2 linked regions of the Alligator mississippiensis genome follow. The protein of the gene in region 2 interacts with the protein of the main gene of each other region in a pairwise test. Links are inferred from orthologs where the notes say so. Each region holds a gene or a part of one and is shown on either strand. Other genes may lie near its edges. The genes, in order: ZFYVE27 and FKBP8.

Evidence for each region.
Region 1: the proteins of FKBP8 (region 2) and ZFYVE27 interact in binary tests that used the Homo sapiens proteins (3 or more experiments, as listed by UniProt). The link is inferred for Alligator mississippiensis from reciprocal best matches to the Homo sapiens genes FKBP8 and ZFYVE27.

What each region holds. Positions count from the first base shown.
Region 1 is NC_081829.1:100,729,567-100,733,457, reverse strand, and holds the start of ZFYVE27 (protrudin), read right to left. Parts: upstream 2,706-3,891; 5' UTR 2,691-2,705; coding exon 2,491-2,690; intron 2,407-2,490; coding exon 2,336-2,406; intron 2,221-2,335; coding exon 2,034-2,220; intron 1,956-2,033; coding exon 1,860-1,955; intron 1,494-1,859; coding exon 1,381-1,493; intron 1,013-1,380; coding exon 864-1,012; intron 609-863; coding exon 537-608; intron 299-536; coding exon 278-298; intron 41-277; coding exon 1-40. UniProt on the Homo sapiens protein: Key regulator of RAB11-dependent vesicular trafficking during neurite extension through polarized membrane transport. Promotes axonal elongation and contributes to the establishment of neuronal cell polarity.
Region 2 is NC_081839.1:1,088,167-1,092,057, forward strand, and holds the start of FKBP8 (peptidyl-prolyl cis-trans isomerase FKBP8), read right to left. Parts: upstream 2,653-3,891; 5' UTR 2,638-2,652; coding exon 2,559-2,637; intron 2,477-2,558; exon of another isoform or gene 2,162-2,476; intron 1,837-2,161; coding exon 1,522-1,836; intron 1,399-1,521; coding exon 1,229-1,398; intron 777-1,228; coding exon 688-776; intron 138-687; coding exon 1-137. Other genes in the region: KXD1 (kxDL motif-containing protein 1), read left to right, coding at 2,818-3,120, 3,235-3,347. UniProt on the Homo sapiens protein: Constitutively inactive PPiase, which becomes active when bound to calmodulin and calcium. Seems to act as a chaperone for BCL2, targets it to the mitochondria and modulates its phosphorylation state.

The sequences.
Region 1 (3,891 bases), on a different chromosome or scaffold from region 2:
ACTGCGAACTCTCGTCGTCCTCCTGGGGGTAGAGCAGCTCCTTGGGGACAGGCCAGACAGTGCCCATGGGGAACTCCCGCCTGCCCCTGCCCTGCCCACCACGTGCCACCCAGGGGGCGGAGGCTGGGGAGAACCAGTGCTGCCTGGAGCCAGGAGGGCACAGAGGCAGCCTGGCACCATGTATGAGATGCACCTGCAGGGCCAGAGCAGGAGGAGGGGACCAGCCCAAGTGCACCGCGGGGCTGTGGCCGAGCACGCAGGGCCCCGCGGTACTCACCAGGCCCAGCAGCTGGTTCTCCTGCTCCCGCAGCATGGGTCAGAGAGGAAAGGCAGAGATGGGTGGGGCAGCAGTGGGCACCAGCACATCCCCCAGCACCAGGATGCACCTGCCTGAGGCAGCAGCTGTGGGCCCAGCTCACTCCTGGCATCGCCTGCTGCCAGACCTGGAGGCAGGTGCAGCACCCCCAGCCCCCACGCCTGGCGCGCGCATCAGCTGCTGCTTGGTGTTAACGCAGCCTACCACCCCACTCCCTCACCTCAATGGCATCCTTGAACTCCTCGTCAGGCTCTGCCTCCTCTGCCTCCTCCACGCTGCCAGGCGTCAGGTCCTGGGGAACAGGTGGCGTCACCAGGGCCAGCCCTGCCCCAGCCCCCAGGACACAGAGCAGATGGGACCCATGCGGAGCCAGGGAGGGGAGTGTTTAGACCGACTCCCAGGATCAGGACCCTAGAGATGTACCATGTCAAGGGCAGGGACCATACCCAAGGTCAGGCCCGGGGGTGAGGGGCGGCGATGACACTGATGTCCTGTGGCACAAGGGTCCCCAAACAGGACATGACCTTGCACCCTTCTCCACCCTCACCTCGGCACTGGTGGGTGTGGGGGTCCGATCCGGCAGGGGCGCAGCTGCCCCAGCACCTGCCTCAATCTCAGCCGGCTGTGAGGTCGAGGGGCTCTCAATGGGCCTGATGCCCAGCTGCTGCTCCACTGTGGCCTTGAACTCCAGCACCACTGTGGGGACAGGGAATCGGAGCCAGGTGGGTCCCGTGCCCAGCAGCCCCCTCCACGATCCCTACCTGCCCCCGTGTTTTACGGGCCCAGGCTGGTAGGGACCACAGGCACCGCACTGCCACCCTTGCCTCCTGGCGCGGCCCCAGGCCACGGGACTGCCCTGCACGGGGACAAGGTCTGGGGGTGTCTGGCGGGGGGGGGGAGGGGGGGCACTGCCACTGGCTCTGCACCCCACCATGGACCTCTGCTGCCCCCTGGTGGGGGCCAGCGACACAGCCGGGCCCAGTCCTGCCCCCCCGCTGCAAACAGCCCAGGCAGCTTCCCCGCGGGCAGCCGGGCCCTGGCCTCGCCCCGAGCCGGGCTCCTACCCTGGTAGAACTCGGCGTTGCCCAGGAAGAGGCTGCTGTTGAGCAGGGCGAGCACCCAGCAGAGCGGCAGCAGGTACAGGACGCAGATGGAGCCCAGCAGCGCGCCGTAGAACCTGGGGGGAGCGGGGGTCAGCACCGGGCAGCCCCCGCTTGCAGCCCCTGCCTCCCCCACGAACCCCGCCAGGGGGCTGCAACCCTGCGGCAGGCTGCGGGTTTTCGGAGGGCTCGGAGCAGCCCCGCGCGTCTCCGGCGCGGCCGGCCAGCGACGACCGCAGGCAGGCGAGCGCCGGGCAGCTGCAGCAGACAGCGACCTGGCACCCAGGCCGCCGAAAGGACGCCCGCGGCCACGTAAGCGTTTCGTCCTGCTGGCGTCTGCGGACAGGGCGCTCCCTCGCTCACCCCAAGGAAACGAGGGGCGAGAGCACGCCTGAAACACCGTGTGGAGCGGGCGCCCCGACCCGACCCGCGGGGCGACTCACTGGGTGGAGGCGGCGCGGTCCTCCCAGCGCAGCACGCGGTAGGCGGCCTCGCAGCGCCCGCACACGTGGCTCAGGAAGGCCTCCAGCTGGATCAGGCTGCGGGGAGAGGAGGGCGCGTGAGGGGCCGCCGCCAGCGGGGCCCGACCCCGCCGCCGACCCCGCGCCGCCACTTACAAGGTCTTGACCTCGGCGATGGCCTCGGAGCGCGAGAGCGGCGCCTGCGGCAGGTCCTGGCGCCGCACGCTGTGGTGCTTCCTGCGCGCCAGCTCGCGCGGCGGCCGGCGCACGCGGCACGTCTCCTGCAGGTAGCCCAGCGCCGCCGGCAGCGCCACCAGCGCCGCGCACACCCCGTACCACGCCGCTGCGGGCCGGCCCGCACCCGCGTCAGCCCCGCCGCGCCGCACGGCACGGCACGGCCCCGCCCCGCCCCGCCCCACGGCACGGCCCCGCCCCCCGCACGACGCCCCGCCCCGCACCTCGGCTGAGTGTGAGCAGCAGGAAGTTGAGGCCGAGGCAGGCGAGGAGCGAGCACAGCGGCTGCTGCCACCTGCGGGCACGGAGGGAGGGCGGGGTTAGGGGGCGGGGCCGGGTCAGCGCCCCGCCCCCGGCCGGCCGGCCTGCTGGCTCGTACCGCAGCAGCGCGCGGGCGGCGCGGGCCGCGTCCCGCAGCGGCTCCAGGTAGAGGCTCAGGCGGCGGCGCCGCGTCACGAGACGGAAGAGGTCGAAGGGCGGCGGCGCGGGGGGGGCCGGCGCGGGCGGCGCGGCGGGGGGCTCGGGCCCGGCCGCCCCCGCCCCCGCCCCCGCCTCCGCCTCGCGCTCCGCCGCCTGCATCCTCGCTTCCGCCTGGCGCGTCACTTCCGCCGGAGAAGGGCAGAAGAGGGAACGGGTTCCGGCAGGAGGGGGCTTCTTCCGCCCGCGCGTGGCGTCAGCGCGCCGCCGCGCCCCCCTCAGGCTGGCAGGACGGAAGTGGGAGCCTCCCTCCGGGCAGCGCCTGGGGCCCCGCCCACTCGCCGCGCGGCAGCCAATCGGGGCCCGGCGGGAGGCTCCGCCCCTTGGGGCATGCAAGCGGCTCGGGCGCGGCTGGAGCTCGCGGGCAGCCTCCTCCCCGGGGGACAGCGCCCCCCCCGCCCGGCGCGGACCCTCCCCGGGCACACGGGCTGGCTGTCGTCGGCTCCTTTTCCAAAGCTAATCTAGACTTAATAAAAGCTTGTTACTAATGAAGTCCACGCTGGAGAGAGGGAGCCGGGCAGGGTAACAACCCCCGGGGCGAGTAGAGCCCTAAACCCGGTCAGGATAGCATGGGATTATGGGGCCAAACCTTCCTGGGCTGCCCCAGGCTTCCCTGGGGGCTGCCCCGAGCAGCCCGACCGACCCACCGCAGACCTGCCGCCCGAAGCGCGGTGTGGCCGTGCCAGGCTGGCCCCAGACACCCGCCCCGACGCCGCGCCCAGCACGCGGGCCCGAAGACAGAACTGGAGTTTAGGCTGGGATGAGAGACAGGAATCCTTCTTGGGCCACGCCACGCCACGCCACGCCACGCCACGCCGTGCCTCTTTCCTGGTTTTGCGTGCCCTGGCACCCCCGGCTGCTGTGCTCCGTACGACTCGAACAGGGAGCTGGTTTTTGGGCTGGGGTTAGAGATGGGAGTCCTTGTTGGGGCACCCACCCCACCCCACGCGACGCTCCCAGAGCGCTGTCCGGCCCGAAGCGCGGTTTGGCTCTGCCACGCTGTCAGCGCAAAGCCCCCCTCCTCCCTCCAGCGACTGTACTAAATGCAATGGCTTGAATAAGGAGCTGTTTTGGGGCTGGATTAGAGGTGGAAATCCTTCTTGGCCACCCCGCGCCATGCCTCCGTGGCACCGCTGGACGCCCCAGACACCCCTGACCAGAGTCCTGCACGGCCCAGAGCGCGGTTTCTTCGTGCCATGCTGCTAAGTGCAGCCCCCATACCCCCCACACCAAGTATAACGGCTCAAATAAGGAATTCCTTTTGGGCTGGGATTAGCGCCAGGAATTCTCCTTGGGCCACCCC
Region 2 (3,891 bases):
AGTTCCCGCGCTCCCGCTTGCAGTTGGCCAGGTCGATCTTGGCCTTCCCGCCGAGCAGCTCCAGGTCAGGGGCGTCCTGCACGGCCAGCAGCTCCACCTCCAGAGTGAGGGCGGTGTTGGGCGGGATGCCAGGGCTCCTGCACGGAGGGAAGGGATACGCTGACGCCGCTTGTGCAACGCGGGGCAGGGCAAGGCAGGCCGAGCTGGGGCTGCAGACCCCCCGGGCCACTCAGGCCCATTCGGCAGCTCAGTCTCAAGCACAGCCGCCCTCCGCCTGGTATCGCTCGCGTGCAGCTGCCCACGCACGAGCCACGTGGCATTAGCGTCACTGTACAGCTCTGGAGACCGGTGCCTCTGGACACACGATGGAACCGGGAGCACGGCAGGCAGGCCTCCCTCAGCTCTGCCGTGCTGCCGGCCTGCAGAAACCTCACCCCACAAAGGTGAAGCAGTGCCGGGCCCGTGACACACACACACACACACACACACACACACACACACACACACACACACCTGGGCCAGCTGCCAAGGGGGCTAATCGGGACAGACCAAGACCAGCCGCTCGCTCCACAGGCCCCTGGGGAGATCCCTCCTCGCAGCAGCTATGCAGGTATCCAGGGCCACACCTGGCCCCGCCACCCCGAGGCCCCCGCAGGGACGAAGGGCCCGGCCAGCCCCTGTGCTCACCTGCCCTGGGGGCCATAGCAGTACTTTGCATCAGACGTGATCAAGGCCGTCTCTCCCATCTCCAAAAGCTGTGTGCACAGGTCTAGCGCCTGCAGGAGCCGAGAGGGGAGAGGTTAGGGGGGCACTGCCCCGTCAGGAGCAGAAGGCCCCAGGGGGAAGCCATGGTGGGGGTGGGAAGGCTGAGAAGCAGTGGGGTCCAAGACATGCTCAGGGCCCAGCTCCCAGACTGCAGGGACAGCCAACAAACGAGGGACCCCACAGCCCAGCACAGGGCATGACGGCAATGGGAGTGTGAGCCCTCACGTCCCTTCATCAGCAGCCCTTCTCTTAGCAGGAGCAGCGGAGGGCAAGGGGCGCTGCGGGGCAGGAAGCACCAGGCGTCGGGGCAGTGGGCAATTAGACTGGACGTGGCAGCGGACGGGCTCCAGTGTTCCCATGGCAGCAAACCGGGCGGTGGGAGCCGCCGACACCTGGGCCAGGCCCTGCCCGGCAGACCCCTCTCTGCGCCGTCCCCAGGCTCCGTGCAGGGCACCGCGCTCACCTGCAGGACGTCGCAGTCTCCCAGGGTGAAGGTGAGGCCAGGGTCCTCCTCCACCACGCTGCCATCCTCCAGCATCACCCTGAGCCGCACGGTCACGACCTGGCCTTTGCTCGGCCGGCTCTCCATGCCCCGGCCGGGCACCAGGGTCTTCTTCTTGAGCAGGCCGTTCCCTGGGCACGGAGGGGAGGCAGGAGAGGGTGAGCGAGATGCCCGTGCCACTCGCCTGCCCTCACCTGATCCCCGCACATTCACACCCTCGCTCAGGAGCGAGCCCCACACTACAAGGCACTCACCCAAGACGTCCAGCCACTCCTCAGCTGCCGGTGGCTCCTCGCCCGCCCCCTCCCCAGCAGGCTCTGGCCCCGAGGCCTGGACGCCCTCCTTGCCGGGTGGCGCCTTCCCTTTCCCGACATCTTCCAAAGGGGGGAGTTCACTCAGGTCCTCCTCGTCGTCATCTAGCACCTCGAAGTCCTCCCTGCTGTCCAGCATGGCGGCGCCGGCCTCGGCCTGGTCGGGGGAGCAGCAGTCCAGGCTGGCGTCCGCCCAGTCCAGGGGGCTGCTGGCCGGCTCCTCCCCTCCGGAAGCCATGGCTGCGCGGCACGAGCGACCTGGGGAGGCAGGAGGAGAGAGTTGGGTTAGGTCGGAGCGAGGCGCGGGATGGGAAGAACTTGGAGTTCGGAGCCAGGCTGCAGCAAGGGCACGCGGCTCTCAGCCCGCCTGGCTGCCTCTCAGTCTGCAGCGCGGACCGGAGCGGCGCGGGCCGCGATTGCAACACGAGCGACTGGGAGGTTGAAGCGACTCCACCAAGCGCTGGCGCAGGCAGCGTCGCTCCAGGCTCGGGGACCCGTCGAGACCCCCCGGCTGCGACCAGCGACCCCCCGCCCCACAGCCAGGAGGCTCCGAGCCCGGCAGCGTCCGACGGGGCACACGCACCGCCCCGGCAGCACGAGAAGGAAAACGTGCCGGGCACCAGCTGCGCACGAGCAGCTCCCGCCAGGCCCGGACCCCTCGCCGCTCCGGCTTAGGCTGCGATGCGGCGCAACGGGAAGGCGCCATGCAGCTGCCGGGCAGGAGACCCCCGCGGGGCAGGCGGCGGGAAGGGGGGCGTGAGCAAGCAGCAGACCGGTTTGGGAGGGACCGGTGGCAGGGGGGGGGCTCCCCTGCACCCCCCTCCCCGACCTGGCTGGGCCCCCCCGGGGCAGCCCCGGCCCCCGGGCGCTTCTGGGGCAGGTTCCCGTGGGGGGAGGGGGTCCCCTGCCAGCGCCCCCGGCCCCGGCCCCGGCCCGCAGCCCCTCCCCCGGCCACGTGCGCCGCGACCCCCAGCACCCACCGGTCCCGGCAGTCAGCTGCTCGGGCCCCGCCCCCTTCTCCTCCCATTGGCTCAGCTGATCCCAGAGCGCGGCTGCCATTGGCGGGCGGGGGACACTGTCACGAGGGAAGGGGGGGTGGGTGGGTGGAGCCGCCTTAAAGGGGCCGTCGCCGCTCATGGGGCAGCAACAGGTGCGAGACCCAGCTGGTTCCGGAGCCGCGAGAGGACCCCACGCCCCCCCACCCCATGATTCGTTGTTCCACGTCTCTATGCCGCTTTAATGCCCCCCTCCCCCCCCCAACCCGCGGCCGCCCACGCCCCGCGGCGCTGGACACGCGTGAAGCCCCGCCTCCTGGTGGTGTCTCGCTACCTTCCGCCACGCCCCCGCGGGGGACGCGAGTCGGGAGGACCGCGGGCTAGAGCGCCGCCTGCAGGGGCGGCCCCGTGCGGCGTGGCGCGGCGCGCTGACGTCCGAGGTCACGCAGGCGTGACCCCTGATCCCGGAAGTGCGGCTCCAGCCCCGGGCCCCCACGAGCTACCCCCGTGCCGGGCGCCGCCATGTGAAGGCCGCGGGGCTGGACAGGTGCGCCCGCAGGAGGGGAGGGGCAAGGCCCGGGTTGGGGGGGGGCAAAGGGGCGGGTGCTTTGCCGTGGGGGGCTGCCCCGTGACGCCTCCCCGGCCCCCCGCGTGTCCCCAGGCGGCCGCCGACGGGGCGATGGAGCCCACGGCCTCCGACGTGTTCTGCAGCCGGGTGCTCAGCATGGTGAACGCGGAGGACGTCAACGCCATCATCCTGGCCCAGAAGAACATGTGAGTGCCGGGGGGGGGCGCCCCTGCCTGCTCCAGGGAGGTAGGAGCCCCCGCCGGGGCAGCGCCCGCCCCGCGCCCCGAGGACGCACCTTCGAGGCCTCGTTCAGTCCGGGCGGGCGGAGGCAGCCCCGGGCGGGGAGGGCGGGAGGCGGCGGGGGACAAGCAGGGCAGCGCTCGGCGGGGCCGTGACTCGCCCCCGTCGCTGTAGGGCAAAATCAGGACTTTAGGTGTCTGCCTCGCCTCGTTACGCTGGCTTGTCTCCGGCCTTTGTTTCTCCCCCTTCTTACTTCTTCTGGTTTTTTTTCCCATTTTTCTGGTAACTTCCCCCCTCGCTAGAAGCTAGTTTGGGCTGCGATCTCGTTCTGAGACCTGCAGACCGAGAGCAACGATGGTTTCTTGGGGCACGAACCCGTGTACGTGGCTCGTCAGGCAGAAACGCAGCCGTCAGAGTTTCAGCGCCGGTTCGAGGACGGGACGGACCGTTGCTTTCTTGCTTTGCTTGGGGGGCTGTGTGGAGCTAAACGCGGAGAGCCTGGTCTAGCCG